Elephas maximus indicus: one gene and its partners. The protein of the gene in region 1 interacts with the protein of each later gene in a pairwise test. Links are inferred from orthologs where the notes say so. Each region holds a gene or a part of one and is shown in the gene's direction. Other genes may lie near its edges. The genes, in order: RABAC1, SNX10, RAB33A and PLEKHF2.

Region 1 (7,976 bases):
GGCATTAATCCAAAAAACACAAAATAATAAATGTTGGAGAGGCTGCGGAGAGATGGGAACTCTTATACACTGCTGGTGAGAATGTAAAATGGTACAACCACTTTGGAAATCTATCTGGCGTTTTCTTAAAAAGTTAGAAATAGAACTATCATACAACCCAGAAATCCCACTCCTCGGAATATACCCTAGAGAAATAAGAGCCTTCACACAAACAGATATATGCACACCCATGTTTATTGCAGCTCTGTTTACAACAGCAAAAAGCTGGAAGCAACCAAGGTGTCCATCAATGGATGAATGTTTAAATAAATTGTGGTATATTCACACAATGGAATACTATGCATCGATAAAGAACAGTGATGAATCTGTGAAACATTTCATAACATGGAGGAACCTGGAAGGCATTATGCTGAGCGAAATTAGTCAGAGGCAAAAGGACAAATATTGTATAAGACCACTATTCTAAGATCTTGAGAAATAGTATAAACTGAGAAGAACACATACTTTTGTGGTTATGAGGCGGGGAGGGAGGGAGGGAGGGTGGGAGAGGGTTTTTTACTGATTAATTAGTAGATAAGAACTGCTTCAGGTGAAGGGAAGGACAATACTCAATACAGGGAAGGTCAGCTCAACTGGACTGGACCCAAAGCAAAGAAGTTTCCGGGATAAACTGAATGCTTTGAAGGTCAGTGGAGCAAGGGCAGGGGTTTGGGGACCATGGTTTGAGGGGACTTCTAAGTCAATTGGCAAAATAATTCTATTATGAAAACATTCTGCATCCCACTTTGAAATGTGGTGTCTGGGGTCTTAAATGCTAACAAGCGGCCATCTAAGATGCATCAATTGGTCTCAACCCACCTAGATCAAAGGAGAGTGAAGAACACCAAGGTCACATGATAACTAAGAGCCCAAGAGACAGAAAGGGCCACATGAACCAGAGACCTACATCATCCTGAGACCAGAAGAACTAGTTGGTGCCCGGCCACAATCGATGACTGCCCTGACAGGGAGCACAACAGAGAACCCCTGAGGGAGCAGGAGATCAGTGGGATGCAGACCCCAAATTCTTACAAAAAGACCATACTTAATGGTCTGACTGAGACTAGAGGAATCCTGGCAGTCATGGTCCCCAAACCTTCTGTTGGCCCAGGACAGTAACCATTCCCAAACACAACTCATCAGGCATGAAAGGGACTGGACAGTGGGTAGGAGAGAGATGCTGATGAAGAGTGAGCTAATTATATCAGGTGGACACTTGAGACTCTGTTGGCATCTCCTGTCTGCAGCGGGGAGGGGAGGATAGAGAGAGTTGGAAGCTGGCAAAATTGTCACGAAAGGAGAGACTGGAGGGGCTGACTCATTGGGGGAGAGCAAGTGGGAGTACGGAGTAAGATGTATATAAACTTATATGTGACAGTCTGACTTGATTTGTAAATGTTCACTTGAAGCTCAATAAAAGTTAATAAAAAAAAAAAAAAAAGACAAACAACCCAATCAAAAAGTGGGCAAAGGATATGAACACGCACTTCACTAAAGAAGATATTCAGGCAGCTAACAGATACATGAGAAAATGCTCTCGATCATTAGCCATTAGAGAAATGCAAATTAAAACTATGATGAGATTCCATCTCACTCCAATAAGGCTGGCATTAATCCAAAAAACACAAAATAATAAATGTTGGAGAGGCTGCGGAGAGATGGGAACTCTTATACACTGCTGGTGGGAATGTAAAATGGTACAACCACTTTGGAAATCTATCTGGCGTTTTCTTAAAAAGTTAGAAATAGAACTACCACACAACCCAGAAATCCCACTCCTCGGAATATACCCTAGAGAAATAAGAGCCTTTACACGAACAGATATATGCACACCCATGTTTACTGCAGCACTGTTTACAATAGCAAAAAGCTGGAAGCAACCAAGGTGTCCATCAACGGATGAATGGATAAATAAATTATGGTATATTCACACAATGGAATACTAGCCAAACCCACTGCCATCGAGTCGATTCTGACTCAATGAAATACTACGCATCGATAAAGAACAGTGATGAATCTGCGAAACATTTCATAACATGGAGGAACCTGGAAGGCATTATGCTGAGTGAAATTAGTCAGATGCAAAAGGACAAATATTGTATAAGATCTTGAGAAATAGTTTAAACTGAGAAGAACACATTCTTTTGTGGTTAGGAGATGGGGGAGGGAGGGAGGGTGGGAGAGGGTTATTTACTGATTAGATAGTAGATAAGAACTACTTTAGGTAAAGGGAAGGACAACACTCAATACAGGGAAGGTCAGCTCAACTGGACTGGACCAAAAGCAAAGAAGTTTCCGGGATAAACTGAATGCTTTGAAGGTCAGCAGAGCAAGGGTGGGGGTTTGGGGACTATGGCTTCAGGAGACATGTAAGTCAATTGGCAAAATAAATTCTATTAAGAAAACATTCTGCATCCCACTTTGAACTGTGGTGTCTGGGGTCTTAAATACTAACAAGCGGCCATCTAAGATGCATCAATTGGTCTCAACCCACCTGGATCAAAGGAGAATGAAGAACACCAAGGTCACAAGATCATTACGACCCCAAGAGACAGAAAGGGCCACATGAACTAGAGACTTACATCATCCTGAGACCAGAAGAACTAGATGGTGCCCGGCCACAACCGATGACTGCCCTGACAGGGAGCACAACAGAGAACCCCTGAGAGAGCAGGAGGTCAGTGGGATGCAGACCCCAAATTCTCATAAAAAGACCAGACTTGATGGTCTGACTGAGACTAGAGGAATCCCGGCAGTCATGGTCCCCAAACCTTCTGTTGGCCCAGGACAGTAACCATTCCCAAAGACAGCTCATCAGACATGGAATGGTCTCGACAATGGGTTGGAGAGAGATGCTGATGAGGAGTGAGCTACTTGTATCAGGGGGACACTTGAGACTATGTTGGCATCTCCTGTCTGGAGGGGAGATAGGAGGGTAGAGGGGGTTAGAAACTGGCAAAACGGTCATGAAAGGAGAGACTGGAAGGAGGGAGTGGGCTGACTCAATGGGAGTATGTAGTACGGTGTATATAACTTTATCTGTGAGAGACTGACTTGATTTGTAAACTTTCACTTAAAGCACAATAAAAAATAAAAATAAAAAAAAAAGTGGCTGCCGCAGGATATGGACAAGAAAGCCAGAAATTCAAGTGGGATTCAGAAGAGGATGTAGAACAAGGGATTACTAATGTCAGACGGATCCTGGCTGAAGGCAGAGAATACCAGAAAGATGTTTACCTGTGTTTTATTGACTACGCAAAGGTATTCAACTCTGTGGACCATAACAAATTACGGATAACATTGAGAAGAATGGGAATTCCAGAACACTTAATTGTGCTCATGAGGAACCTGGACATAGATCAAGAGGCAGTTCAAACCAGAACAGGGGAATACTGCCTGGTTTAAGGTAAGGAAATGTGTGTGTCAGGGTTGTATCCTTTCACCATACTATTCAATCTGTATGCTGAGCAAATAATTCAAGAAGCTGGACTACAAGAAGAAGAAAGGGGCATCAATATTGGAGGAAGACTCATTAACAACCTGCACTAAGCAGACGACACAACCTTACTTGCTGAAAGTGAAGAGGACTTGAAGCACTTATTGATGAAGATCAAAGACCACAGCCTTCATTATGGATTACACTTTAACATAAAGGAAACAAAAATCCTCACTGTTGGACCAATAAGCAACATCATGATAAATGGAGAAAAGATTGAAGTTGTCAAGGATTTTATTTTATTTGGATCCACGATCAACACCCATAGAAGCAGCAGTTGTTGAACAATCAAAAAAAATGCATTGCATTGGGCAAATCTGCCCCAAAAGACCTCTTTAAAGTGTTGAAAAGCAGAGATGTCACCTTGAAGACTAAGGTGCGCCTGACCCAAGCCATGGTGTTTCAACTACCTTATATGCATTCAAAAGCTGGACAATGAATAAGGAAGACTGAAGAATTGACACCTTTGAATTGTGATGTTGGCGGAGAATACTGAGTATATAATGGACTGCTAAAAAAAAAAAAATCTGTCTTGGAAGAGGCACAACCAGAATGCTCCTTGGAAGCAAGGATGCCGAGACTGCGTCTCACATACTTTGGACATGTTATCAGGAGGGATCAGTTCCCGGAGAAGGACATCATGTTTGGGTAAGTACAGGGTCATCGAAAAAGAGGAGGACCCTCAATGAGATGGATTGACACAGTGGCTGCAAAAATGGGCTCAACCATAAGAAGGATTGTGAAAATGGCGCAGGACCAGGCAGTGTTCGGTTCTGTTGTACATAGGGGTCGCTATGAGTCGAAACGGACTGGACGGCACCTAACAACAACTTGGAGAAGTGGTTAAGAGGTTGGCTGCTAACCAAAAGATCAGCAGTTCGAATCCACCAGCCGCCCCTTGGAAACCCTAGGGGCAGTTATACTCTGCCGTAGAGGTTCGCTGTGAGTTGGAATCAACCCCGCCCTGGCGGCATAGTGTTTTAGAGCTCGGCTGCCAACCAAAAGGTGGGCAGTTCGACCAGTAGCTCCTTGGTAGCCTGATTGGGCAGTTCTACCCTGTCATATAGAGTCACTTTGAGTTGGAATCACTCGCAGCAACGGGTTTGATTTTGGGGGGGGGGGTGGGTTTAGAGTCTGAGAATGACCGCGTTATACAGTGTCATTGCACTGTCCGCGGGGGAGTACAGGACACCTGCTTCTACCATTAGAGCTCCTATAACGCCCACTTCCAGTAGCCTGTTTCCCGACCCTGACTCCCACACGCCTAGCTTCTGAACATAGAACTTCCGGAACGCTCGAAGGACACCCGCCGTCGCCGTATTTGGACTACATTTCCCAAGGTGCTTTGCGAGTGACCCTGCCATCATGGCGTCCATCGCACCAGACACGATCAGGACTACAACTCCCACGATGCTTAGCGACAGAACTCCTGCCCCCCGCGGCTCCGGAGCCTCGCCACGTCCGCTCCGCTGGGTGAGGCCGGGCTCGGGACGGGCGGACAGCGTCTACCGGGCCCGGAGCTCGTTACAGCGGTTCTACCCCTAACCGCGCAGACATGGCGGCGGAGAAGGACCAGCAGAAGGATGCTCAGGGAGAAGGGCTGAGCGCCACGTGAGCGATCCGGTTTAGCCCCCTAACCCAGGACTCAGGAGTGAGGGTCCCCAACTTCCCCCTCCCTCGGGTCCCAGGAGTCCAGGTCCCAGCCCTCCTTCTCTCAGACACGGGAGCCTAGACCCCGGGTCCCCTTCTTTTCTAGGACTCTGGAGTTTGGGCCTCCTTTGGGGTCCGGGATTTGGGCCCCCTCCCGAGCCCCCCCGCCCAGAACCCGGGAGTCCCGCCCTCTCAGCCTCCTCCTTCGGGGCTCCCGGCCATCCCCGTACACCGCTGACCCAGCCCTGCCCGCCAGGACCCTGCTGCCGAAGCTGATTCCATCCGGCGCGGGCCGTGAGTGGCTGGAGCGGCGCCGCGCGACCATCCGGCCCTGGGGCCCCTTCGTAGATCAGCGGCGCTTCTCGCGGCCCCGCAACCTGGGCGAGCTGTGCCAGCGCCTCGTTCGCAATGTGGAGCACTACCAGAGCAACTACGTGTTCGTGTTCCTGGGCCTCATCCTGTACTGCGTGTGAGTGCCTCCGGGGACGGGACGCCGCCCTTGCCTCGCGGGCCCGGCATCGCCCCTCCAGGTGGCCCTGCTTGGTCGATCCCGCTCTTCTCTGGCCGCCTCCCGCCCCCCACTGGCCACGCCCCACCTCTGTGGGGCAGCCCGGCCAGACCTTATTCCCAGAGGCCCAGACCCCTACTTCCTTATCGGCTTGGCCAGGACAGTGTGACCAGAGGTGACCCGTCTTTGCGTACCGTCAAGGAACCATTCTGCCATCTCCCAGTGTAGAAGGATCAGGGCCCCTGGCTGGACAAGCCCAGCTGCCTGACCCCTGTCTCCCCGCACTTCTCTCCAGGGTGACATCCCCCATGCTGTTGGTAGCTCTGGCCGTCTTCTTTGGTGCCTGTTACATCCTCTATCAGCGCACGTTGCAGTCCAAGCTCGTGCTCTTTGGTGAGAAGCCCCCTGCCTAGACGGAGCCCCGGCCCTCTAGTCCTGTCTCTTGGAACTTGAGCATCAGACCCCCAAATCCAAGCCTTTCTGAACCTAAGTCCGCCCGGGGCCTAGATCTATACTTAAAAAAAAAAAAAAAAAAACCTGTTCTGGTCTTTTCCAACTCAGAGCGACCCTACAGGACTGAGCAGAACCTCCCCATAGGGTTTCCAAGGAGGGCCTGGTGGATTCCGACTGCTGACATTTTGGTTAGCAGTGGAACTCTACGCCACCAGGGTTTCCACTATACTATGTCCCTCAAGCCTGATGGCTTAAGATCCCGGACATCCCAGATGCTCCCACCCATCTCAGCCCCCTAAACTGCAAAATGAGATACCCCAGAACTCATTCTCCACCTGGCTTCTCCTGTCCCTGAAATCTCCCCTCCCTACACCCTCCTCTAGCCTGTCTGCTGGAAAGCATCAACTGCAGGTACCCACATTGGCCACAAGGTGGCAGCCGTACATGGCCTAGATCTTGCGCCCTTCGCTTTCCTCCTTCCTGCGGTGGAAGCTGGAAGTTAGGATTTCTGAGAGAGGGAAACTGAGGCCTGTGGCTTTTGTAGAATACCTCGTGTGGTCCCAGCCTGGTACCATGCACCTTTGGGATGACAAGGGGGGCCTGGGTCCCCACCCAGGGGAAGCTCAAAGTTTGGAGTGGAGCCAGAGGGGAGTTGGGATCAGACAATCAGAAAGCTCTAAGACAAAGTTGTTCATGGGGCTCCAATTGAAATTCTTTCAGAAGCCTACAAGTCACATACCTGACAAAAGTGGACTGGGGGAGGGACATGCTGGGCAACCCAGGGTGCATCTAAGACAGAGCTACAACTTGGCTTCAGCTGACTGGTGTCACCAGAGAATGCAGGCCAGTGTGACCCAACCTTCCAGTCTTCCATGAGAAGCCAGAAGTCTGTTTTTCTGGGAAACCATTCAGTTCACTTGCCAGCCACAAATCAAATTCTTGTGAAACACTGTGCAAACTCAAAAAAAAAAACAACACACATCTGCTGGTCAGACTTGGTCTGTGGGCCACCACTTGGAGACCCCTGGTCTACATGAATGCAGGCTGGAGTAGCAGAGGCCTAGTCTGGAGCAGCAGAAGCGGGGTTGAAGGGCAGGGGCCTGAGGAGAGTGCTGTGTTCTGGAAGACAGTGGGGACCTGGGAGAAAGAAGTTGGGGCCAGGGCTCAGAGGGGCTTGGTTTGAGTTTAGATTTGATCTTGAGGGTCGTGGAGCTTGTGATACCAGTTGCGTGGTGGGGGGGGTACTCTGAGAGAGGGCATGGAGTGTTGGAAAAGCTGCCCAATGCGTCTGTCCCCCAGGCCGAGAGGTGAGCCCAGCCCATCAGTACGCTCTGGCTGGAGGCGTCTCCTTCCCTTTCTTCTGGCTGGCTGGTGCAGGCTCGGCTGTCTTCTGGGTTCTGGGTGAGTACAGGGTCTGGGTGGCGGGTGGGCAGTGCAGGCCAGGTGAGGAAGCGTGGCCCTGAGCTGCCCGTTTCCTGCAGGAGCCACCCTCGTGGTCATCGGCTCCCATGCCGCCTTCCACCAGATCGAGGCAGTGGATGGGGAAGAGCTGCAGATGGAGCCTGTGTGAAGTGGCCTCAAGAACCTGCGGGCCTCCCAGGCCTGCCGCTCTGCCCCGGTTCACCCCCATCCTGCAAGGCTCTCCTGCTGGGGACAAAGCTCCCTCCCACATCACAAGCCCAGGGAGGCCTCCCAGCTTTGGAAATAAAGCTGTTACAGTTGTTGTCCTGCAGACATTGTCCCAGTGTCTTCTGTGGGTCTGTACAGAGTAACGCTGGGCATACTGAGGATCCAAGACAGACAGGGCTCAGGGTGTGGGGGAGACAATAG
Region 2 (7,930 bases), on another chromosome or scaffold:
TTGTGTGTCAACTTGACTGGACCATGATTCTCAGTGGTTTGGCAGTTATATAATGATGTAGTTTGGCAGTTACACAATGATGTAATTTGGCGGTTATGTAATGAGGTAGTCATCTTGCACGGTGTGATTTGATGTGATCAGCCAATCAGTTGTAAGGGAAGTCTCCTCGGGGGTGTGTCCTGCGTCCAATATATATATGGACGTTCTGGCAAAGCTTGCTTGCTTACTCTGGATCCTGCATCTGGCTCACCATTATCTGACCTCCGGTTCTTGGGACTTGAGTCAGTGGCCTGCCGTATTGATTACAGATCTTGGGATTCATCATCCTCCGCAGGCTGTGAGCTAGTAAACTTCTGTCTTACCAGCTGCTCTTGGGTTCATCAGCCTCTGCAGTTACATGTGTCAGAAGCTTCCAGCCTTACTCCTGACCTATGGACTTGGGACTTGCCAGTGTCTACAACTTCGTGAGTTATTTCCTCTAGATAAATGTCTGTCTCTCTCTGTATATACGCTTCACTGGTTTTGCTTCTCTAAATAACCCAGCCTAAGACAGAGTGTGTCTGTGGTGGCATACTGGTTAAGTGCTACAGCTGCCAACCAAAGGGTCGGCAATTTGAATCCTCCAGGCCCTCCTTGGAAACTTTATGGGGCAGTTCTACTCTGTCCTGTAGGGTTGCTATGAGTCGGAATTGACTCGACGGCACTGGGTTTAAGACAGCGTGATATTAATGATATTGTTCAATAATTTCTGCATCCTGTTGGATCACCTTTCTTTGGAATGGGCACAAACATGGATCTCTTCCAGTAGGTTGGCCAGGTACCTGTCTTCCAAATTTCTTGGCATGGACGAGTGATAGCTTCCAGTGTTGCATCTATTTATTGAAACATCTCAATTGGTATTCTGTCAATTCCTGGAGCCTTTTTTTTTTTTTTTTCCGCCAATACCTTCAGTGCAGCTTGGATTTCTTCCTTCAGTATCATTAGCTCTTGATCATATTTTACCTCCTGAAACAGTTGAACATTGACCAATTCTTTTTTGTGCAGTGACTCTGTGTTTTCCTTCCATCTTTTAATGCTTCCTGCATCGTTCAATATTTTGTCCATAGAATCCTTCAATATTGTAACTCAAGGCTTGAATTTTTTCTTCAGTTCTTTCAGCTTGGGAAATGATGAGCATATTCTCCCTTTTTGGTTTTCTAACTCCAGGTCTTTGCACATTTCATTCTAATACTTTGTCTTCTTGAGCTACCTTTGAAATCTTCTGTTCAGCTCTTTTACTTCATTACCACTTCCATTCACTTTAGCTCCTTTTCTCTCATGGATTGAATTGTGTCCCTAAAAAATATGTGTCAACTTGGTTAGGCCATGATTACTAGTAATGTGTGGTTGTCCTCCATTTTGTGATTGTAATTTTATGTTGAGAGGATTAGGTGGGATTGTAACACCACCCTTACTCAGGTCACCTCCCTGATCCAAGGTAAAGGGAGTTTCCCTGGGATGTGGCCTGCACCACCTTTTATCTCTCAAGAGATAAAAGGAAAGGGAAGCAAGCAGAGAGTAGGGGACCTCATACCACCAAGAAAGCAGTACCAGGAGCAGAGCATGTCCTTTGGACACTGTGTCTTTGTGCCTGAGAAGCTCCTTGACCATGGGAAGATTGAGGACAAGGACCTTCTTCTGCAGCTGGCACAGACAGAAAGCCTTCCCCTGAAGCCAATGCCCTGGATTTGGACTTGTAACCTACTAGACTGTGAGAAAATAAATTTCTCTTTGTTAAAGCCATCCACTCGTGGTATTTCTATTATGGCAGCACTAGATGACTAAGACAGCATTTGGTACTGAAAGAGTGGGGTGCTGCTCTAACAGATACCTAAAATGTGGAAGCAGTTTTGCAACTGTGAATGGATAGAGTTGCGACAGTGGCAGAGGACTAGTTCAGCAGAGAACCTGCAGTGGCAGAGAATCAGCAGCAGCAGAACCAGGAGACCAGCATGAGATGGCACTGGGGCAGACCCAAGGAACGAGAGAGCTGAGTGCCTGTGTGCAGGAGGCTTCTTGGAGGAGTAGGGATGCCTCCAGGCACTTATCAGTGAAGCTAGGCTTGCCGACCCATGGAGCCAGAGAGCTAAGTGCCTGTGTGCAAGAGGCCTTCTGGTGGAATGGAATGCCTCCAGGCATTTATCGGTAGAGCTACAGAGCTTTGGAACATTTGCCCCAGCAGAGCAGATGCGGGCATGAGGCCCGAGGAGCCAAGAGGCCAAGAAACCAGGAAGCAGAAGCTGAAGAGACAACACAAGAAGCCGAGCTGCCTCAGTCTCGAAAGGTAGGGCCATGACCTCAGGGGTTTCAGAGGGTGTAGCCGTGGCCTCTGGTGTTTCTAAGGGTGGACTTGCCACTCAGAGGGACTAGGAGAATGGTGTGTCTAAAGCCAAGGGAGCAGAGTTGCTGTCCCAGGGCCAAGGGTTCTCCACTCAGAATCTGGAGAATGTGGCCAATACCTAGAGTCTGGAGGGCAGGGTCATTGCATAAATTGTCTCGGAGAACAGAGGATTATTTTCAAAGCTTTGCGGGCTAATGTATTGTGGTCTGCTGACTTGCTTGGTGCCTATTATGCCTTCTTTCCCTTCAGTTTCTCCCATTTGTCATGGAAATGTCTAGCTTGTGCCTATTCTGCCATTGTACCATTGGAAGCAGATAACTTGCATTCTAGATTTCACGGTTGAGGAATTTTTGGATTTTGGACTTGGAGTTAAGACTTTTGCTATGATATGATGGGGTGAATGTGTTTTGCATATTACAAGGATGTGATTTTTTGGGGGCCAGAGGGTGGAATGTCATGGATTGAATTGTGTCCCCTAAGAAATGTGTCAGCTTGGTTAGGCCATGATTGCCAGTAATGTGTGGCTGTCCTCCATTTTGTGATTGTAATTTTATGTTGAGAGGATTAGGTGGGATTGTAACACCACTCTTACTCAGGTCACCTCCCTAATCCAAGGTAAAGGGGGTTTCCCTGGGGTGTGGCCTGCACCACCTTTTATCCCTCAAGAGATAAAAGGAAAGGGAAGCAAGCAGAGAGTGGGGGACCTCATACCACCAAGAAAGCAGCACCAGGAGAAGAGTGCGTCCTTTGGACGCTGTGTCTTTGTGCCTGAGAAGCTCCTTGACCATGGGAAGATTGAGGACAAGGACCTTCCTCCAGAGCCCACAGAGAGAGAAAGCCTTCCCCTGGAGCTGACGTCCTGAATTTGGACTTGTAACCTACTAGACTGTGAGAAAACGAATTTCTCTTTGTTAAAGCCATCCACTCGTGGTATTTCTGTTATGGCAGCACTAGATGACTAAGACATTTACATTCAAGAGCAACTTTCAGAGTCTCTCCTGACATCCATTTTGGTGTTTTTGTTCTTTTTAATTACCTTTTGGTTTTTTCACGTGTGATGTCCTTAATGTCATTCCACAACTCGTCTGGTCTTCGGTCATTAGTGTTCAATATGTAAAGAATAGTGTTGAAATATATTCTTGAGATGATCTCTAAATTCAGGTGGGATATACTCAAGGTCATATTTTGGCTTTCTGTTAGGGTCATAATTTTAACAGATATTTAAATGACTTTCCATAGAATCTCCAAGGCTTTATCTGCTGCTCTGTCTACAGTTGTAAGGTCCTGCTCTTGGCAAGTTCAGAAAGATTTTAATTTTGCAGACTCTCTTAGTGTCTTAGGGGGCAGTGGTGGTTCAGTGGTAGAATTCTCACCTTCCCTGTGGGAGACCCTGTTCAATTCTTTGCCAATGCACCTCATGCATAACCGTCGCCTGTCTGTAAGTGGTGGCTTTTGCGTTGCTATGATGCTGAACAGGTTTCAGTGGCACTTCCAGACTAAAATATACTAGGAAAAAAGACCTGGGAATCTACTTCTGAAAATCAGTCAGTGAAAACCCTATGGATCACAGCAGTCCAATCTCCAACTGACCATGGGGTAACACAGGACCAGGTAGCATTTGGTTCCCTTGTGCACCGACTCCCCATGATTTGGGTCGGGACTCCATGGCAGCTATCAACAACTCAGTATCTTAGGCTCGTGCAGCATTTCGTTTTCCAGCCAATGCTTTTCCTTGTGGAGCATAGGGGCGAGAATTTGAAAAATATACTTAAATTTTATTTTCAGAAGTGATCATGTTTGCATCTACTTGTGTGTTATGACTTGGCTGCAGTCATAGGAAATTCAACGTCAGTGATTCATGATCCAGTGGTGCAAATCCAGGAACCAGATATTAAGATACGACATTGTAGATTTAGAAGTTTTGCTATGCAAAATCAACTTCGGTGTGGAGCGTATCCGTCATGTTATATTTCCAGGTGGGCCTGCCGTGGCCCCCAACAATCGTCTGGAGCAGGCTGTGTCTAATGGGATAACTGGTGCTTCAGAAATGAAGTGTTAGGTAGTCACCCATCAGAAGCTTAAATGACCTCATAATGCGTTTTTTTTTTTTTTTTTTAATGCGTTGAGGTTTTCCAGCAAAGGGGTGTGTCAGACCTAGCCTAAAGTTCTATTCGGGAATTGGCTTACTGATTCAGTCCTCTTGGCGGATCTCATTTATTTCCCCCTCCCAAACGTTTTATTATGCAGAAATTTCAAAATTCAGAAAAATTGAAAGAATTGTACAGGAAACACCCATATGCCCACGACCTAGATTTTTATTAACATTTTATTATATTTGCTTGTCACAGATCTGTCCATCTCTATCTCTTTCTCCACCCATCATTAAGGTCCCTCCACTCATCATTAAGAATTCCAGGGGATGCTGGTTGCACACCTCAGCTTCAGCGTCCGGGCAAGTGGGGGTATTTCCTCCCTAACCCGATTTCCGGGTCGAAGGAGGCATAGTCGCGGCACCAGAGCGCGGCGGGCCCGCCGGCAGTTCCGCCCATAGCCCCAGCCGCGCCTGCTGGGGGTCCGCTTCGTCTCCTGCGCGGCAGGAGGGCGGGGCGCAGCGGGCGTCCCGAGGCCACAGCTGGGCTGGAGGGTGTGGTCCCGGCCGGCGGTGGAAGCGGGAGCCCTGGCGGCCAGACGCGGCAGTCACACGCGGGAGGCGGACGCTGAGCGCGGGCACGGGCGCGGACAGCTACGTGCGCGGGGAGCACGGCGCTGCGCTCGTGTGCGCTCCTGTGAGCTCGTCGCCGCAGCCGCCGCGCCTTTGAGTCAGCAAACTCCGCCGCCGGTTCGCCAGGCCGCCTGCCCGCCGGCGCTGCCCTGCCCGGCCCTGCCCCGCACTGAGAAGCGGCCGGTAAGTGAGAGGAGACCTGTCGGGGAGGACTCTTTTGCACTGCCTGGGCTTGGGACCGCGGCCGGAGCGAGCCGGTCGCTTTTTCCATTTCAGAGGCGCGGGGCCCTTCTACCCGCATCTAGGTGCCGGTTCCCTGCGGGCCCCGGAGAGGTTTGGGTCCCTTGGGATTGGATCCAAGAAGGTGATTCCTTTCCAGCTGAGGTGTGCAGGGGAGAAAGAAGTGGGTTTGTCGGACCAAGGGAGGGCGATGCAAAGTATTGGTCCAGGGGTTCATTTGCTAAAAAGACACCCCAGGGAGAGGGGGTGGGGTAGAGGTGGAACCCTGAATTCTAGAAAAAGTGCTGTGGCATCTTACACCAGATTGGGTTTGGGTAGGTGTTTTTTTTTTTTTTTTTTTAATTCATGAAACGGTAATTTTGAGTTTAGAAATTAGGAGGAGGTGGGCAGGGTTTTGTGTGTGTGTGTGTGTGTGGGATTGAGGGAAAAGGCCCGAGAGAAAATCCACGTTGACTACCATGCCAGGGTAGGTGACACGGGAAATCAACGGCCTTGCTCTTCAGTTCTGGATGAATCATGCTACTCTAAAATGACACGGAGTATTGACGGGAATGGTCTCTGGAAACGTAGAGCAACATGTCCTGCTTTAAAGGAAGGGCTTCTATCCCTGCAAGACACGTTTACCTGTAAGAATAATGGAATTAGACATTTAGAGCAGGAAAGAGGCCTTCACGGGATATCGTTCTAATCTTTCATTTTACAGACAGGGAAACCGAGGCAGGGGGAGGGGCGTGTCTTGACTAGGGTCTTTCAGCCAGATGGGAGGAGAAACAGGCCTCCAACCTGGTGGTCTTCTGATGCCTACCCCGGAATTCTCTGTACCCTTGGTGGGTGGAGAGAGGGGAGGGTTTTGGAATGCATACACTCCCTCCACTCTAGGAGTTGGCTGGTCCCTGAGAGGGTGAGGTGGAGGACAGTGTGGACAGGGGACTCTCATCCAGTGGCCAAGCTGGGACAGCGTCCTCAATAGGACAATTGGGGTGAGGCGAGGGGCCCCTGAGGTGTTCCTGCCTTGCGTACAGTGATCAAGGGAGGCAGACTCATTCTAAGGCCTATATACACTTGGCCTTTTTTTTTTTCTTAAAAGGATGTGCCTACTTTTAGGTTGACTAGCAGCACTGTCCTAAATATACAAAAATAAAATGCATGAAGTAAATATATGAAGATGTGAAATAACGTGATTAGCGTTGACTTGTATTCCCTGATTGTCCTGTTTCCTCTGTCAGTCCTTTCATCTCACTTTGGGGTTACCATCTCAGTGGTGAGGAAATTGGTGTTGAAAGAAGGATGTGCTCAGGCTGACACATTTCCTCCTGGCAACCCCTTGAGTGCTATTCCCCCCCCACCACTCTGGGGTGTGGTAGGCACTTCCTCTTATTTAACCTCCAGCTCGGTTTCCTAAAAATAGAAATAAACACCTTTATTCTTTTTCAGATAAAAATGTATTAATTAAAGACAAACTTGTGTGTTCTACTACAGCTAGTCTGCATGACTTTGGAGCACTCTTGATATCTTTTTTCAGCCCGAGGGTCTCTTCTGCCGTTTTGAAGGGTTCACTTTGCTAGCCAAGCTTTTGTGGGAAATGGCTTCTTTTTCCTCTTCTGCTGTCAGGTCTGTGGTTTAACAACTACTTGTGAAGGGTAGAGAACTAGCTGGTTGAGACCATGGCCCAGGCAGGCTTTCATTTCCAGGAGTGGTAAAGAAGGGCTTTTGGCCGAGGTCCTGGTTCACAGCCATGGACAATCTTCTAAATTTTGGGTTGTTATCACCACCCATAGTCTTTCTCTTACTAATCTGGTGAGTATGAATTAGATTCGATTTTTCCTAAGCTTTGTTTAAATAAGAGATTGTATGAGGTAGTGGCTACAACTTCTTGTTTCAGACCTATCTAAGCCAAAATCTCCACACAGTCATTTGCTACCTGAAGTTCTGTAGCAAGGCACTTAACTTTAATAGATCTGAGTTATTCTTTCTTGAAAAATACAAAAAGGGTGATGATAATTCTCACCTCTCAGGATTTTTAATAATAATAGCTGAGATTTAGTGAGCTCCTACTATGTGTGAAGAATTGTGAGAAGAGTTTTTAATGTGGTAATCTCATTAATCTTCACAGCACATTTATGAAGCAGGTTCTGTTATTGTCCTCAGTTTACATCTGGGGAAGCTAAGCCCTGAGGATGTTTATGACGTCCCTAAACTCCTCAGCCTAGAGTTTTAACCACCTGGCAGATGTGTCCCAGATTTCTGTAAAAGCCGATAATTATTTAGGACTCTGTGTTCCAGGCCCTGTTTCAAGTGCCCGATGTATATTAACAACCCTTGAGATAGGTACTGTTGTACAATTTTTTCACAAATGAAGAAACTGAGGCATGGATAGCAAGGTCAGATAAATGGTGGGATGGAGATTTGAATAAGGCAAGCTGGGTCCAGAATCAGTATGCTAAGACCTCAATCAAGGACAGCTCTCATTGGTGCTTTCATTTATTTGTCCCTAAATAACCACACATCCCTGCCCCCACCAGTGTCTGCAAAGGATGTGCTTTCAGTTCTCTGAATGATTCAGCTTTGCCTGAGCTTTCATGATTCTC
Region 3 (8,014 bases), on another chromosome or scaffold:
CTTTCCATAGGTCCAAGGCGGGGAACCTGGCTTCCCAGATCCGGAGTAGACTTCCATCTTTTGCAAATTGCTGCCACTTTCCGCATCCAACCCCTGTTTCCGGGACAAGTGGTCCCTCAGCGCTCTCCTTTTCCCGATATCCCATTTATATTGTGCAATTCTGTATCCTGGATGCTGTACCAGGTGCTGCGGTTCGTCTCCTGCTATTATGGCTTCCGTGTTTGAGAGCAGGATGCTGGCAAAACGAGTTCGTGCTTCACAGACTTTCTGTGAGAGAAATCCTAAGCAGAGCTTCACAATTTTGGGAGGAGTAGGGTGAGGCGCTGTTTTGAACATGTCACATGTAAGCTAAATTAGAAATAATTTTTTGCTGTATGCAGAACGTAAAACCAGTTGCTGTGGAGTCAGTTCCAACTCATGGCAACCTGAGTATGTCTACCAGAGTAGAATGTGCTCCTTACGGTTTTCAGTGGAAGTGGATTGCCAGGCCTTTCTTCCGAGACATCTCTGGGTGGACTCGAACAGCCAAACTTTCAGTTAGCAGATGAACGCATTAACCCTTTGCACCACCCAGGGGCTCCATGCAGAGCATAAAAAAAAATAGCATATGCTTTTTTCAAAGATTCGGGTGACATATTCATTCAGCACGTATTTACTGAGCACTTGCTACTTGGACTGTACTGTGAAAGGGGCTTTGGGAGATAGAAAAAGTATAGGAAGTGGTCACTGTCTTGTTGGGGAGATGACATATACTGCTTATTCAAATTATAAATTGTATCTGGTGGTGTAGTGGTTAAGTGCTATGGCTGCTAACCAAAGGGTCGGCGGTTGGAATCCACCAAGTGCTCCTTGGAAACTCTGTGGGGCAGTTCTACTCTGTCTTACAGGGTCACTATGTGTCGGAATTGACTCCACGAAAACTTTTTTTTTTTTTTTTTGGTGTAGTGCCAGAGCAAGAGAAGAGTATGGGCTGGAATGACTAAGGAAGGACTTCATGCAAGAAGTGTTACATGAGCTGTGCCTTCAAGGATGAGTAGTAAAATTCAAATAGACAGTGGAGCAAGAGGAATGATATTTCAAGTGGTGAATCTATTGTGACCAAAGGTAACCTTTTTAGTGGCTAAGCACGTCGACTTTGGATCCAGACCACCTTAAGCTGAATCCTGGCTCTGCCACTTCCTAAGCTATGTGACCTTGGGCAAGTCATTTAATTGTGTCTACCAATCTCATAGGGTTGTTATGAAGATTAAATGGGTTAATGTTTGTGAAGCGTTTTATAGGAAGCACCACCGTGTGTTAAATTAAAAGGCTTAGAGGTATACAAACAAAACTCAGCACATTTCCAGGGGACAAAGAGAAACCAATATGTCTGGGGCAGAGAATTCAGACTAGGAAGAAGCGGTGAGGACTGGTAAGTATGATGGGGCCAGATTTGAACTGTCAAAAAGAGTTTGGCCATAATCTTGTGAGTGATGAAGTAGCTTAATCTTGTGTGTGTGTGTGCATGGAATGTGGATAGGGAATGAAATTATGGAGGCATTGTTTAGGCAGCTTAACCCAGGAAGCAGTCTTTATTTATTTTTCTGGAGCTGGCACTTAATTTCCTTTTATTAAAATTTCCACAAGCCCACGCAGAGAAGCCCCTGGGTAATAAAATAACATCTGTGGAGCCCAGGATGGCGCCACACCCCAGCGTCCTCACAAGGCTCACATCTGGCCAGATCAGCAGTGTATGCAGGGCCTTCACTGCCAGCTGCCGCCCCTGCGTGTCCCCTACTAGGCCATGCCTCTGTCGTTGGGTTTAGGGTGGGAAGGAGTCATTTACTGGGCATCTACTGAATGCTGGGCCCTGGGCCAGGTGCTTTACAGACATCATTGCTTTTCATTCTCACGTCCCCTTTCAGACTTGTTGAAGAGGCTGAATAGTTGGCCCAAGCTACCCCTGGCTGCCTGGCTTTAAAGTCCCTCCTTTTCCTGTCTCCATAGTGCAAAGCAGCCTTGAGTGGAAATTATCTAAGGTTCCCTTAACTATTAAGCAGAATAGATTAATGTTCAGAAATGAGTTATATTTTACCTACTGCTGCTTTGGAGGGAGGTGGTAATATTGAAAATATCAATTCCACAATGAGGTAAAAATTACTCATATTAATTTAATATTTTAAAGACCTTACAGACATTGATGATTATTGATGTTTCTAAAAACTAGTAATAAACATGGTTTGATTAAATACAAAGTTAAACATATCTGTTGGTGAAAGAGGCTTTGGAAAACACTATGATAATCAAGTACCTATGAAAACAACTGTGTGTATTCAAAAGACAATCATTTAACGATGCATAATCAAAACAGAAAAGGCACAGTATAGCACATTTCATTTTTTTTTTTGCCATGGTGCGATGAGGTAGTTTTCTTATCCTTTTAATTAAAAATTGTGTGTGTTTTTTTGCAAAATATACACACATTGAACTAATTTCAAAAAATATAAGTGAAAGCCACCTAAAAATCTCACCCCACAGAGGTAAAATACACTTTTTAATATGGCAAGGTGCCCATCTTGAAACACTGCATTTCCAGGAATCAAAGTTTCTACCCAAATACAGTGTGAATCCTCAGACTCAGTGACAAGTTTTTGCCAGATAAATAATCTTATTATGTAGGTGTAAATTCTTTTTATATATCTCTCAGGAAGTTAGCATTAATTCTGGCTATGAGCTGGCAAAGCCTCTTTCCACTCTACCTACCAAAGAAACAAATCCAAACCCATTGCCGTCCGACTCTTGGCGACCCCATGTGTTACAGAGCAGAACTGCCCATAGGGTTTTCTAGGCTCCAATCTTAACAAGCAGGTCACCAGGCCTTTCTTCTGCTGTGCTGCTGGGTGGGTTTGAACTGCCAACCTTCACGTAAGCACCTTTATAGGTTAGCACCTTTAAGTTAGCAGTTGAGCACAAACTATTTGTACCACCCAGTGACCTCCCTCTACCTACAGGATATGCCTAATAATTACCCCCTCCCACTTTTCATACAGCTGTTCTTGGGTAGATAATGAGTATTTCCTTCAAATACAGTGGTGAATGATCCGGCAAACTATTATCTAGACATCAGACAATCAAAAAACCAAAATGTTGTGTAAAGTTGATGGCTATTCACACTGTACAATGGCAGTTGGTATCCATATGATGACCTTGGATTAGCCAATTATGATTAAATCCTCCCCTGATGCTTGAATAGTATAATCTAGGGTTTCAGACATGGGTGACACATTTATGTGATAAGGGGGTTAGCTATAAATAACGCTTGCTAACTTAGCTATATAGACCCTGTTTTCCCAACCATTTTGAGTAGTGAACTCGGTTGAGTATTCAGTATTCCAGTCCATTTACAGATCTGCCACTGATGCACTGAATTGGTTTTCTCTCGTTGGGAATGGACTAGTCACACGTTTGTCTCTTCCTGAATCTCAGCCTCACACACAAATAAGATGGCAGCTTGCAGTGCTCCTTGAATCCACGACTTTGGTGGTATTAGCAGTAACTCCTGTGTCGGAGCTATTGGCATATGTTGATATTGCCTTAGCCTATGAAATGGGTGGGGAGGCGGAAGGTCTTAAAAACAAACATAAAATAGGTGCACTTTATTGAATTTCAATTGTAACTCAGTAAGGTTGATTTCAGACAAACTCTGAACCTGCAAATCACTTTCGGGAGAGGGAGCATTGACCTTGACCAAGATGTGTGATTATTAGTAAGCTTTGGGAAGCTGCCCCCAGTACCGTAATAAAGTTGTGTTCATTTATTACCTTCCAAGCATAATCTAGGCTTCTGGCAAATTAGAACCAACCATTTTGTTTTACATTCAGTCGCAGGGGGGTGAACCCACCTAGGGGTTTCCAACTCACTTTGAACGTTCACCGTTCTGGAAGGAATTATGGTTATATGGAGGACCCGGCAATGCAAGGCACTGTGGGGCTTATGCCATGTCCCAAGATCCCTCCACCTGGGCCCGTAATGGTTAGCCCCAGAAACAAAGTCCCCTTTTGCTGGAGCTGCCACCACTCGCTTCCCCCCTTCTCCTACCCGCTCATGGCCCTCTCCCGCGGCAAGCCTTCCCCATTGGCCAGCTAAACACAACCGACTGCTGCAGCCAATGGGAGCCGCTCTCCTGAACATTCAGAGGATGGGTGCTCGTGGTGTGATGAGGGGAGGTTGGCGCCTGGCACGCGCCCCCCTACATCTGGCCCTAGACACACACGCGTACCCACCCGCGCCCCCGCTCCCTCCTCTCAGCTGCACGGACTCCCCACACCCTTCTGCGTATCTTGGCAGAGCCCTCTCCCGCTCCTTGAGGCCCGCGGGTGCACCTGCTCACTCAATAAGACAGAGCATCCCGTTTAGCTCAAGGCTTGGGAGGGGGTCCGTGGAGGCGCGGCTCAGCTGCCCGCCGCCGCGAGGTGAAAGAGGTATACCCCCCACACCGCACACCCCCCACCACGAGCTGCGTTGCTCCGATGCCGAAGAGCCCCGGAGATGCCTTAGGCACAGCGCTTTTTGTCCTCCCCAGCTCTGCCACCTGCCCGCTGACCCCTGGCACTCGGAGAAAGTGGGGGTGGGGGCCCGGGACAGAAGACATTAGTCGGGGCGCGCAGAAAGGAAGGCCGCCCCGGGGTGGTGTGTGCAGCGTTCCCCACCCCCTTCTTTTCCTCCTCCAGCTTCTTCCCTCCGGGGTGTCCCAGGGGTCCAGGCAGGGGGAGGGTCTAGGCCTAGGCGCGGCGGCGGCTGCGGCTCTGGGAGCGCCATCGGGTAGCACGCCCTGGTGTCCCGTCCGAGGGCACAGGTGGCAGGAGGAGGCTCACGGCTTGCCCACTCTCCTCCATCCATCGCTCCTCCTCTCCTGGTTTTTGTGTTGGGGCCTTAGAGCTCTCAGGAGGGTGCGCTGGAGGAGGGGGGCCGGGGCGAGAGCACCCCCTTCCCGCGCGCGCGCACACGCTCCCGGCGCACGCACACACAGGCGGACACACACACGCACACAGCTCGCTCGCCTCGAGCGCACGAACGTGGCCGTTGTCTTTGTGTGGAGCCCTCGAGGGGGGTCGGGCTCCGGGCCGGTCCGGGGGAGATGGCGCAGCCCATCCTGGGCCACGGGAGCCTGCGACCCGCCTCGGCCGCTGGCCTGGCCGCCCTGGAGCTCGACTCGTCGCTGGACCAGTACGTGCAGATTCGCATCTTCAAAATCATCGTGATTGGGGACTCCAACGTGGGCAAGACCTGCCTGACCTTCCGCTTCTGCGGGGGCACCTTCCCGGACAAGACTGAAGCCACAATCGGCGTGGACTTCAGGGAGAAGACAGTGGAAATAGAGGGCGAGAAGATCAAGGTGATCCAGACGGTCAGGTCCGGGAAGGGAGGGAGCTGGGAGGGGACCTCGCCTGAGGCATCGCTCTAGTGGCTGGAGACGTCCAGCTCTTGGTTGTGTCGCCGCCCGCTGAGCCCAAGACCCTGGGCACCTCCTCATCCTCTTTTGCCTCTCTCAGTGACCCCGTTCTTACCTCACCCCTGTTTTTAGGGCAGGAGGGAATGGTTTCCTTTTTCAGCTCGTTGCCCCTGGCCGACAGTTCTTGTCTGGAATAGCAAGGTTGATCCCATCCTTGACCCTGCGCCAAGAGCAGCAGCACTTGTGGGCAGAGGGAGGCATGAGGCAGCTTTTGGTCCAGGTCTGTGGGATCGATCCCAAAGCACTTTACGCATCTTGAGGTCTAGTCTACCTCTTGGGTGCCAATAGGCTGCAAAAACCACTTGAGCTAAGCCTCAAGAATGAGAACTGCTTTGTTTTAAATTACAGTTTATAGTTGAGATTAGGGCTGAGTTGAGAGCGGGGGTGGTTCTGGCCCACAGCCATGAGTCCTTTGAAAGAAATTCAGACAGGGTCCCCCGCCAGCCCTTCATAATAGACAAAACTTGTTCTTTTGGAACCATCCTTCCCAAATGATAACTCTTTTACTTGTCTGGGGTATCTTGCTCTGTCAGGTCAGGGTATTATCTTCAGAAGGCCTTTGTAAAAATACAGAGCAAGTTACCTGAGGGCCAAGGGAAGTGCCTTGGTCTCCCCCTTCCCCATGAGTTTATTACATACGCCAAGTACGAATATTCTTGTCTATTTGTTCTCATCTTTAAGTCTACAGGACAGAACATTTCAGTGTGCAGGGTGTGATGGGAGGGAGGACGTGGCAAGGGCAACTTCAGGTGTGTGGGGGGAGGGAGCAGAGGAGGAAGGGGGAGGGAGGCACCTCAAAAGGCACTGGGGACACTGAAGACCAATTTCGCTAGAGTCACAGCTGGCCTTTTCTAGAGCCTCTGGTTGGACCCTCCACGGAGTCAGGGTGAAGGTAAACCTCCCTCTTGCCAGTCCAACAGCCAGAGTGTCTCTGAGGCTGGTCATCTGAGAGATGTGCAGAGAAGGGCTGAGGAACTGGGGAGAATGATGAAACACTCTAAACTGAGCAAGACTCCTGACTCCTTGACTTAAGATGAATGTTTTTTAAATGGCTTCAGAAACCAGGCCAAGGTAGGTGCCAGGAAGATGGGCTGCTCGGTTCTGTTTGTTAACAGAGAGCTCTCCAAAACAATTGAGCCCCAGGGTCAGGAAGCTAGGGCATTGTTCTCAAATTGTGATCTTTTTGACCCTGGCCTTTTGGGAATTGGAGCATTTCCCTTTAAAGTCATTGTAGGTATCTGTCTTGGTCTTTTCCTAGGGCTCGTACACTGACGTTTCCTTGGTTAGGGCTTTCTCTAGTGTGTCTAGTTTCTTTAATGTAAGGCTGCAAGATTCTGGAATTTCTAAAGCATGCCTTTTTTATCCAAGTAGAAATATATCTGTGCATGGGATCTAAAATCCTTAAAATGTAATACTATCACTTGTTGAAAATCAAGTGTCACATTGAGCCAAAGTGTTCCCTGAATTTAAAACGGGGAAATGAGAATAAGGCCGCCTGAAATTTAGGTGGAGGAGAAAGGAAGTGTTTGAGAGTCTGAGGGAGGACGGAGAAGAGAAGGAAGCTAGGAAGTGGGGAATGGGGAGGTGAAAATCAAGTGCAAGAGGGTCATTATCCAATGGCCTTGGGGACATTTTTAAACCATTCCTTCCCTTCTAACACCCCAGTACTTAGCTAAACTGGATTTTACAGTCTCTGCCAAACATTCTGGATCTTCTCCCAGAGGGCAAAGCCTATGACAGTGTGACTCACTGGAAGCAGCTCAGCACACTAGCACGTGCAGATAAGTGCTTAATACAGGCTTTTTGGGGGAAGGTGATATCTTTTAAGAGGGCAAAGTCTTGTGACCATGCCTGTGGAGGAGTCCTCCGACCACAGATTCTGAAGCACTTAAGGTGGGGTATGGGAGCAGGGAGATGGTGTCCCTGCCTCTTGTAAAGCTGCTCCAATCTCACAGCCAACGCTGGCAGGCGAGAGGCCAGCATGTCCGTGGGAAGATGGCAGAGCATGGCAGCTGGACAGCTAGCATGTGATCTAGATAGGAGAAGATTTTGCCCCACACTTCTGCCGGTCTGGAGTTCCTTAAGGAACAAGGGCCAAAACCACTCTAGGAGGTGACTGCCAAGGGCTTTCCCCTTTGGGGGAGAGAGAGAAAAATCCAGTGTGACAGGCCCAGGTAGCCCTAGACCACAGTTAGCAATAGAAGGCTCTAAGCTCTAAAATACCAGCCCTCACAGGAGAGTGGTAAAGAGGTCTCAGCAAGCTCTTTGCTACAGTCCAAGACTAGGGTGGGGCCTCTTTTGGGCTGACTCCTTGTGTCCTGGGGTAGCACACGGGGCAACTCCTGCTGGGGCATGACTGAGTTAGTATATTTGGGGCTACTCCTAATTACCAGAGCCATCCCTAGGAGGTTGAAGCCCATTTGGTGTCTCCAGTCCATGCGCCCCCCCACCCCATCACAGCATTTATGATCCATGTTTTCTGGTTAACATGAATATTGAGAAAAGCCTCCAACAAACAGGCAA
Region 4 (7,600 bases), on another chromosome or scaffold:
ATCTTGGTGCCCACCAAAATTCTGGTGCCCATGATGAGCAGGCCACAGGCGCAGTGTGCCTGGTGCTGGTGCACGTTTCCACGACACTTTACTAAAACATTACTCAGAAGAAAAGATCCTGGAACCAATTCAAGAATAAGTAAATGACTCAACGGCAACAGGAAGAAATGTCATAAAAATATTTTCAAAATCCAAGAACGTGGACTATGTTGGTTCCTGGGAGTGTTTTATTAATGTTAATTGAAGAGAGTGCATGGAATAGTTCATAATAATTACCCACATATTTAAAGGATGTGTAAATCAGTGAAGACGTGAATAGAGTTTCAAGTTCTCTCTGAAGTTTGGAAAGCTTTTTAAACATGTCTGTGCTTCTGGCAAGACCTTCCTGTCTCTCATCTTGCTCAGAGTTGCTCAGAATTGCCTGGAACGCCCTCTGATACCTCTTTGTGGCTCGCCTGTTCTTGCTCTTGTCTCCCCTTGTTCTCTGATTCCCCCCCCCCCCCCCCACACTTCATCTCTCTCTTCCTACCTCCAAAACCAAAACCAAAACCAAACCGGTTGCCGTCTGGTCAATTCCAGCTCACAGCTACCCAGCGTGTGTCAGAGTAGAGGTGCATTCCATAGTGTTTTGAAGGCTGTGACCTTTGGAAGCAGGTTGCCAGGACTTTCTTCTGAGTGGGTTCAAACTGCCAACCTTTATGGCTAGTAGTCAAGCACTTAACCATTTGTGCCACCTGGGGACTCGCTACCTACTTCATTGTTGCTGTGTGCCCTGGAGTTGATTCCAATCCATTGCGATCCTAGAGGACAGAGTCGAACTGCCCTTAGGATTTCCAAGGAGCATCTGATGAATTTGAACTGCCAACCATTTGTTCAGTTGTATCACTTAACCACTGTGCCACCAAAATGGATTGAATAGTGGCTCCCAAAAAGACATGTCCAAGTCTTAACCTTTGGTACCTGTGAATGTCACCTTATTTGGAAAAGGGTCTTTGCAGATGTAGTTAAGGATCTCAATATGAGATTATCCTAGATTTAGGGTGGGCCCTAATCCAATGGCAGGTGTCCATATAAGAAAACAGCAGAGGGAGATTTGAGACCCAGAGAGCCACAGAGGGCAGAAGGCCACGTGAAGCCTGAGGCGCAGCCTGAAGTTATTCTGTCACAGGCCAAGGAATGCCAGGAGCCACCAGAAGCTGGAAGGGGCAAGGAAAATTTCTCCCCTAGGGCCTTCAGAGGGAGTGGAGCCCTGCTGACATCTTGATTTCTAACTTCTGGCCTCCAACACAAATTTCTGTTGTTTTTAAGCCATCTGCTTTGTGATATTTGGTTATGGTGGCCACAGGAAACTACTGCAGTAATTTTCCCTACCTTTCTCAGGTGCCATACACCAGTAAGATCCTGTTTGCCCCACCAGGTTGCAGACAAAAGACACCCTTCCATCCTGCTCCCTCCCACCCCTCCTTGCTTCTACTCCTGATTCCCATCTCACCCTCCCTTGTTTGATGGCCCATTAGTACACATCTCTCTGTGTGATTTTGCATCTAGCACACTGTATAACCAGCTGCAGTGAGGGAGCAAAGTCCAGGAGGCCCCCTGCTGTGCCCAGCATTAACTCATTAGGTCCTGGATTGTCACAACCCAACATTGACAAGATTCTTGGCGTTAATTCTAGTTGTGTACCAGGAATTGTGCTAAGTGGACTATCTCTTCGAAACCTCTCCACAACCGTATGGGTGATGAAAATGAAGCCTAAGCAGGTTCAGAGATGTGCGGCCAGGTCACCCAGGTAGCAAGCAAGTGGCTGAGTAAGGACTGGAAACTGGGCATGTTGTAGGGTGAAAACATCACAAAGTTTAGTAAAGCAAAACGAAAGCTTTATTCGGCGTTTGTTCAAATAGGCAAAAGTTGAAATGGACAAGCATGCTTCCAGAGCTAATGTCTGCCCAAATCCAAAGAATATTACAGAATAGGCAAGAATGGGAAAACGGACAAGCATGCTGCCACAGATATATCTGTCTGAGTCCAAGGAATATTACGGAATAGACAAAAGTGGGAAAATGGCTAAGTATGCTGCCAGAGCCGTGTCTGCCCAAGTCCAAGGGTTACAGAATGGCAAGAATGGGAAAATGGACAAGCATGCTAATGGGCAAAACCATTGAAAGCTTCACCTTTTCACAGATTGGCTAGAAACTGCTAAATCTCTGATTCTACATTTTGAATTGTCATTCTTAACAATCATTGGTACAGGTTCAGTAAAGACAGTCAGGAGGGTCTTCACTGGTCCAACAAATCTTACTATTCATTAAAGGCTAGTAAAAAACGATAAAAGTTGGAAGCATGAGGGTCACTAGTGCTGTGTTTTATGATTTGTTTATGTGAAAGATTCCCTAAAAGATGTTTTCCAAAATTGTCCTAGCTATTGTCTTTATACCTCAGAGCCCAGTTGATGTGTCCTTGTGAATCCAGCTCCAGGTGGGTCACATTCCAAGACAGAGAATAATGGTTCCAATATTATCTCCTAAATCAGGTGGCCTGACTCTTTGCTCTGTGTGCGGTGTGTGAGGAAAAGCCTGGAGAGAATCATCTCTCTGTGGAGTAGGGAACACTTAGCAAGAAGGGTCCTCCAGTCTAAGGGCCCTCAGAAAGGTACATTTTTTTATTTCAGAACAATGGCACCAGAGGGATACTAGCTGACCCCATCCTTCAGCCCTGATTGGAAGCGCAGGCCTAAGGGCTAAGAGGGAGGCCCTCATCTAGGAATTCATCCACTCTGAGGGAGAGCGGGAGGGAAGGGTGAGTTCCATGCTCAGAAATACAAGTTAAGCACAGAGCTTACAGAGCATGCAGAGTCCCAGAGACTTCTGGGGAATCACAGATTATAGGCCAGGACATAGAAGGTGAGAACTTAGCAAATAAGACTTATTGAGTCCAGAGGGTTTCCCTGCCTGTTTCCTTGAGGTGATACGCAGTGAGACTTAGCTTGGAAAGGTTATAATGTATTTGTGTTTAGAGAGGCGTTGTGAATGGGTGGAGTCCCTGGATGGCACAAAAGGTTAAGCCTTAAGGTTAGTGGTTCAAACCCACCCAGAGGTGCCCTGGAAGACAGGCCTGGCAAGATGCTTTCGAGAGGTCACAGCCTTGAAAACCCTATGAAGCAGTTCTGCTGTGCACACGTGGAGTCACCATGAGACTCAAAAGCAACAACAATAGTGAATGAGTAAAACAAGCAAACCTGCATCTCCAGCCTTGGAGGAGAGAAGTGAATGGGGGTATTGGCTTTAAACTGAGAAGGCTGGAAGCAGCCTGAGGTGTGCAGAAGAGAAGAAAGGGAAATAAGGGAAGCTTGCCTCAGCCTTGGCCAGAGGTGTGGCCCCTGCAGCTTAACTGGTGAACACCCCAGTGACTCCTTGAGCACGTAGGCAGAACGTGAGGGGGCCACATTAAAGCTAGAGCAGTTGTTGCTGTGGAATTTGCCAGTGGGTGACTTTCTTACCTTTCTCCCCATGGGCTGATAGCCATGTTTGCTGAAAGTCAGTGGCATTTTCTGGCGCTATATACGTTTTTATATATATATACGTAGGCGTGCTTGATAGGACCTTTTAAATAAACCTAGTCCCAAGTTATCATTATGCTATTACATTTGTTAGTTGTTGGCAGATCTGTCCCACCATATACAAAAGCTGAGCTATTTCAGTTACTGTACTTATGAGTCATCTTGCCGATTTTGTATATATTTTCTACCACTGTTCTATAATCTCATCCTTTCGCTCAGTGTGTGCAGGTGATAATTATGTTCTTTCCCTTTCTTACATTTTACTTCTATGAGATCAAAATAGCAAAAAGGACAGTTACAGTTTTCTCTTAAAAGTTTGTGGAGACTTACAAAGCTGACCTTGACACTAGCGCTTTGACTTAGATCAGTGATTACAAATAACGTAAGTGCTCTTCCGAGCTTTGCAATAAGCAGAAATGCACATCAAGATAGCCTTGCATTTTAAGGGCAGATTGAACTGGGTGCCCATCTTGTCAAATTGTGAAGTCTTCAAAAATTCTTTTTGTGTTGAGTGGATTTGCTACATCCGTCATTGCTACTGAGGTCTAAAAAGATCGTCTGGAACGCATCAGTATTTGTCAGCACTCAGAGAGCTGAAGGGTCTCCTTAGGGAAAGGGCAAGGGAGGTAGAACAAACTGTAGTAACCCAAGAAAAGATGGATTTGTATGACTGAGAAGACTAAAGTCACGTGTTTTCATTCACCACACTATTTCTGGAAGGTCTTGGCAATTTTTAAAAGTTGTTATATCATTGTTTTCTTGATGGCTTCTCTAGCTGTTCAAACGTGGTAAGAAGATGACAGTGTTATCACACAAAAGGGAAGGAAGAGCCGTGTTCCTCTGACTGAAAAATGTTTCCTCAGTTCCTGTCTGTCCATTACCTTGAAACTCTCTCCAGTTTTCTCAGACAACACTGGTTGGAGCTGACACACTCAGAGGAACACACACTTCCCCATTCAGATGACCACATCAGGAAGTAGAAGCATAGCTTTGACTCAATAGGGGCTTCTCTGCCCACATGCTTCACATACGTGAACTGTCAGGCCTCATCTGAGGGACTTACAGTGGGTCAAGATCTCTTCTCAGCTGAGCCCAACCTGATTGCTCAGCAAATAGTTTTGAGAGAAGCTTAGACCTCAAGTGTGAGAGCCGCGCACAGTTATTTTTCCCGAAGATGTGCTGAAATCACAGATGTCTACAAGTCAACGCTTAAGGAATGGCACTCCTAAACAGCAGGAAATTTGGTATGTTCTCAGTTGCAAAAATGTGTCCTAGATGCTGCAGATGGTGATTTTATTCTTCAGCCACGACAATAGCCCTAGTTGGGGCCCTGATCATGCATTTTCTGGTGACAATGCTCAATGTATTCTGAGCTTATTTTAACCATATTTTGAAGTGAAAGTACATGTATTTTAGAGAACTGAAAGTGACTCTATGTGATTAAATCGTAGTGTCAGTATTTTTAATTAGCAGTCTTTTGGTTGAAATCAACAGAACCCAACTAGCTTAAAAAAAAAAAAAAAGCTTAAATAATAAAGAGAATTTATCATCTCACTTACTTAAAAAGTCCAGAGGTAGTTCAGGCTCTAGATAAGATTTGATGATGTCAAGGGTCTCATTTCATTCTGTCTTTCTGTTCTGGCTTCCCCTGTGTGAGCGGGCATCTTAGGGCAGACTTCCTTATGGTCCCAAAATGGATGCCAACAGGTCCTGGGGTTACATGATTTTTTGTTTATATCAGTAGGAAAGAGACCATCTCTTCCCTGAATTGCCAAATAAAATTCCTGGGCTTCATTCTGACGGAACCAATGACTGTATTTGGGACTATGGGATGCCCTGATGCCATAATTCCGCTCATCCTTGGAACTGAGGGTGGATCAATCCCCTGTGATGGTTAAGGTTATGTCAACTTGGCTAGCCACAATTCTCAGTGGTTTGGCAGTTATGTAATGATATAGTTATCCTTCATTTTGCGATTTAATGTAATCACTTCTGTGATATGATCTGATGTGATCAGCCAATCAGTTGTAAGGGGAGTTTGCTTGGGTGTGTGACCTGCATCCAACACTAGCTAGCTTTTCCTCACTCCAGATCCTGCATCTGGCTCATCATCATCTGACCTCTGGCTCTTGGGACTTGAGCCAATGGCCTGCCATATTGCCTGCCGATCTTGGGTTTGTCAGCCCCGGCAGCTACGTGAGTCAGGAGAAGCCTCCAGACTGACACCTGACCCACAGTCTTGGAACTTCGCAACCTCTATAACCAAGTGAGCCATTTCCTTGAGATAAATCTCTCTCTCTCTCACCATATATATGTGCATATATATTTATCTACACACTTCACTGGTTTTGCTTCTATAGAGAACCCAGCCTAAGATACTCCCCAAATGCTTTGTTGAGAGTGAGGTAAAAATGATTGCAAGGGAAATTCGGGATACTCTTACCAAAAGAAGTATAAGTAGATGAAAGGACGCAAAAATAACCAACATTCTCTCATGAGTGTTTTGGGAGGAAAAGCTATAAGCTATCCAGAAAGGCGAGTTGAGGAGTGACTGGGAAGGGCTCTGTTAAGAAGTCTGAACCTGACGTCTTTTGAAAGGTGATTTTAATCAGCAAATATCACCTAATATCCACAGAAAACTCCTTAGGGTCATTAAATACCCAACAATCTTTTTATGAAGTCCTTGGGTGATGCAAACAGTTAAGCACTTGGCTGCTAACAGAGAGGTTGGTGATTAGGAATATACCCAGAGATGCCTCGGAGGAAAGACCTGATGATCAGCTTCCAAAAGATCAGTCATTGAAAACCCTATGGAGTGCACTTCTACTCTGCATACGTGGGGTTGCCATGAGTCGGAATCAACTGGTTTGGTTTTGGTTTTTTAGTCTTTTTTACAAATGAAGCTTTTTTTTTTATGTGTGGTTAGAATAGCTAGACGTCTGGATACTGAGTAGATCCAAAAAAAAAACCAAACCCAGTGCTGTCAAGTCAATTCCGACTCATAGCGACCCTACAGGACAGAGTAGAACTGCTCCATAGAGTTTCCGAGGAGCACCTGGCGGATTTGAACTGCTGTCCTTTTGGTTAGCAGCCGTAGCACTTAACCACTGCGCTACCGGGGTGCCCACTGATAGGAACCTATTATTTGATCATTGTACTTTTCGTTGTGTTTGAAATATTTTATAATTAAAAACTGAAAGTGACACACGGATATGGTAGACATTATCAATATTTTATATTTTTCTCCTTCCTGTGTGCTCAGGAGACTACGCTTTCTAGCTCATCTTGCAATTAGGCAGTTCGTGTGATTAGTGCTGACCAATAGGCTGTGAGCAAAAACGACACTGGTTTGGTCTGGCCTGAGAGTATAAAGCTCTGGGTGAACTTTTGGCTTTCCCTTCTTCTTCAACATGATAGTGGATGCCAAATATTGAGATGGTGGAGCTGCAAAGTAGTTGGGACCACCGAATCACTGCACAATGTCCACTGCCTTGGAGAGTCATCAGATGTTCTGGTTATCAACTTCTGTGTGTCATACCACCCCAAAACTTATTAAAGTAACAATTTTCTGTTATCTCTTATGGGTCTGTGGATTGACTGGGCTCAACTGGGCAGCTCTTGCTGAGGGGCCTTTCAGACGGTTCCAGTCAGTTGCAACTGGAGCTGCAATCACCTAAAGACTCATATGAACTGGATGTCTAAAATGGCTCACTCGTATGTCTGGAATTGGTGCTGGGTGTTGACTGGGTAGGGGGCAGTTGTGATTCAGTGGTAGATTTCTCACCTTCCATGCGGGAGGCCTAGGTTCAATTCCTGACCAGTGCACCTCAGGAGCATCCACCACTTGTCTGTCAGTGGAGGCTTGAGTGTTGCTATGATGCTGAACAGGTTATAGCAGAGCTTCCAGGTGAAAACAGACTAGGAAGAAAGGACTGGTTATCTACTTCTGAAAATCAGCCAATGAAACCCCAAGGATTGCAATGGGCTGATCCCATTGTACATGGGGGCTGACTAGATAGGAGCTAACAACAAGTCTTCTTATTC

What was found.
Region 2: the proteins of RABAC1 (region 1) and SNX10 interact in binary tests that used the Homo sapiens proteins (3 or more experiments, as listed by UniProt). The two-hybrid records come from large-scale screens. The link is inferred for Elephas maximus indicus from reciprocal best matches to the Homo sapiens genes RABAC1 and SNX10.
Region 3: the proteins of RABAC1 (region 1) and RAB33A interact in binary tests that used the Homo sapiens proteins (3 or more experiments, as listed by UniProt). The two-hybrid records come from large-scale screens. The link is inferred for Elephas maximus indicus from reciprocal best matches to the Homo sapiens genes RABAC1 and RAB33A.
Region 4: the proteins of RABAC1 (region 1) and PLEKHF2 interact in binary tests that used the Homo sapiens proteins (3 or more experiments, as listed by UniProt). The two-hybrid records come from large-scale screens. The link is inferred for Elephas maximus indicus from reciprocal best matches to the Homo sapiens genes RABAC1 and PLEKHF2.

Annotation. Positions count from the first base shown.
Region 1 is NC_064829.1:108,961,045-108,969,020, forward strand, and holds RABAC1 (prenylated Rab acceptor protein 1), read left to right. Parts: upstream 1-4,964; 5' UTR 4,965-5,090; coding exon 5,091-5,146; intron 5,147-5,441; coding exon 5,442-5,654; intron 5,655-5,988; coding exon 5,989-6,086; intron 6,087-7,445; coding exon 7,446-7,547; intron 7,548-7,627; coding exon 7,628-7,716; 3' UTR 7,717-7,878; downstream 7,879-7,976. UniProt on the Homo sapiens protein: General Rab protein regulator required for vesicle formation from the Golgi complex. May control vesicle docking and fusion by mediating the action of Rab GTPases to the SNARE complexes.
Region 2 is NC_064826.1:87,445,134-87,453,063, forward strand, and holds the start of SNX10 (sorting nexin-10), read left to right. Parts: upstream 1-4,916; 5' UTR 4,917-5,285; intron 5,286-7,930. UniProt on the Homo sapiens protein: Probable phosphoinositide-binding protein involved in protein sorting and membrane trafficking in endosomes. Plays a role in cilium biogenesis through regulation of the transport and the localization of proteins to the cilium.
Region 3 is NC_064846.1:26,288,319-26,296,332, reverse strand, and holds the start of RAB33A (ras-related protein Rab-33A), read left to right. Parts: upstream 1-5,013; 5' UTR 5,014-5,116; coding exon 5,117-5,374; intron 5,375-8,014.
Region 4 is NC_064833.1:46,884,736-46,892,335, reverse strand, and holds the start of PLEKHF2 (pleckstrin homology domain-containing family F member 2), read left to right. Parts: upstream 1-4,598; 5' UTR 4,599-4,800; intron 4,801-7,600. UniProt on the Homo sapiens protein: May play a role in early endosome fusion upstream of RAB5, hence regulating receptor trafficking and fluid-phase transport. Enhances cellular sensitivity to TNF-induced apoptosis.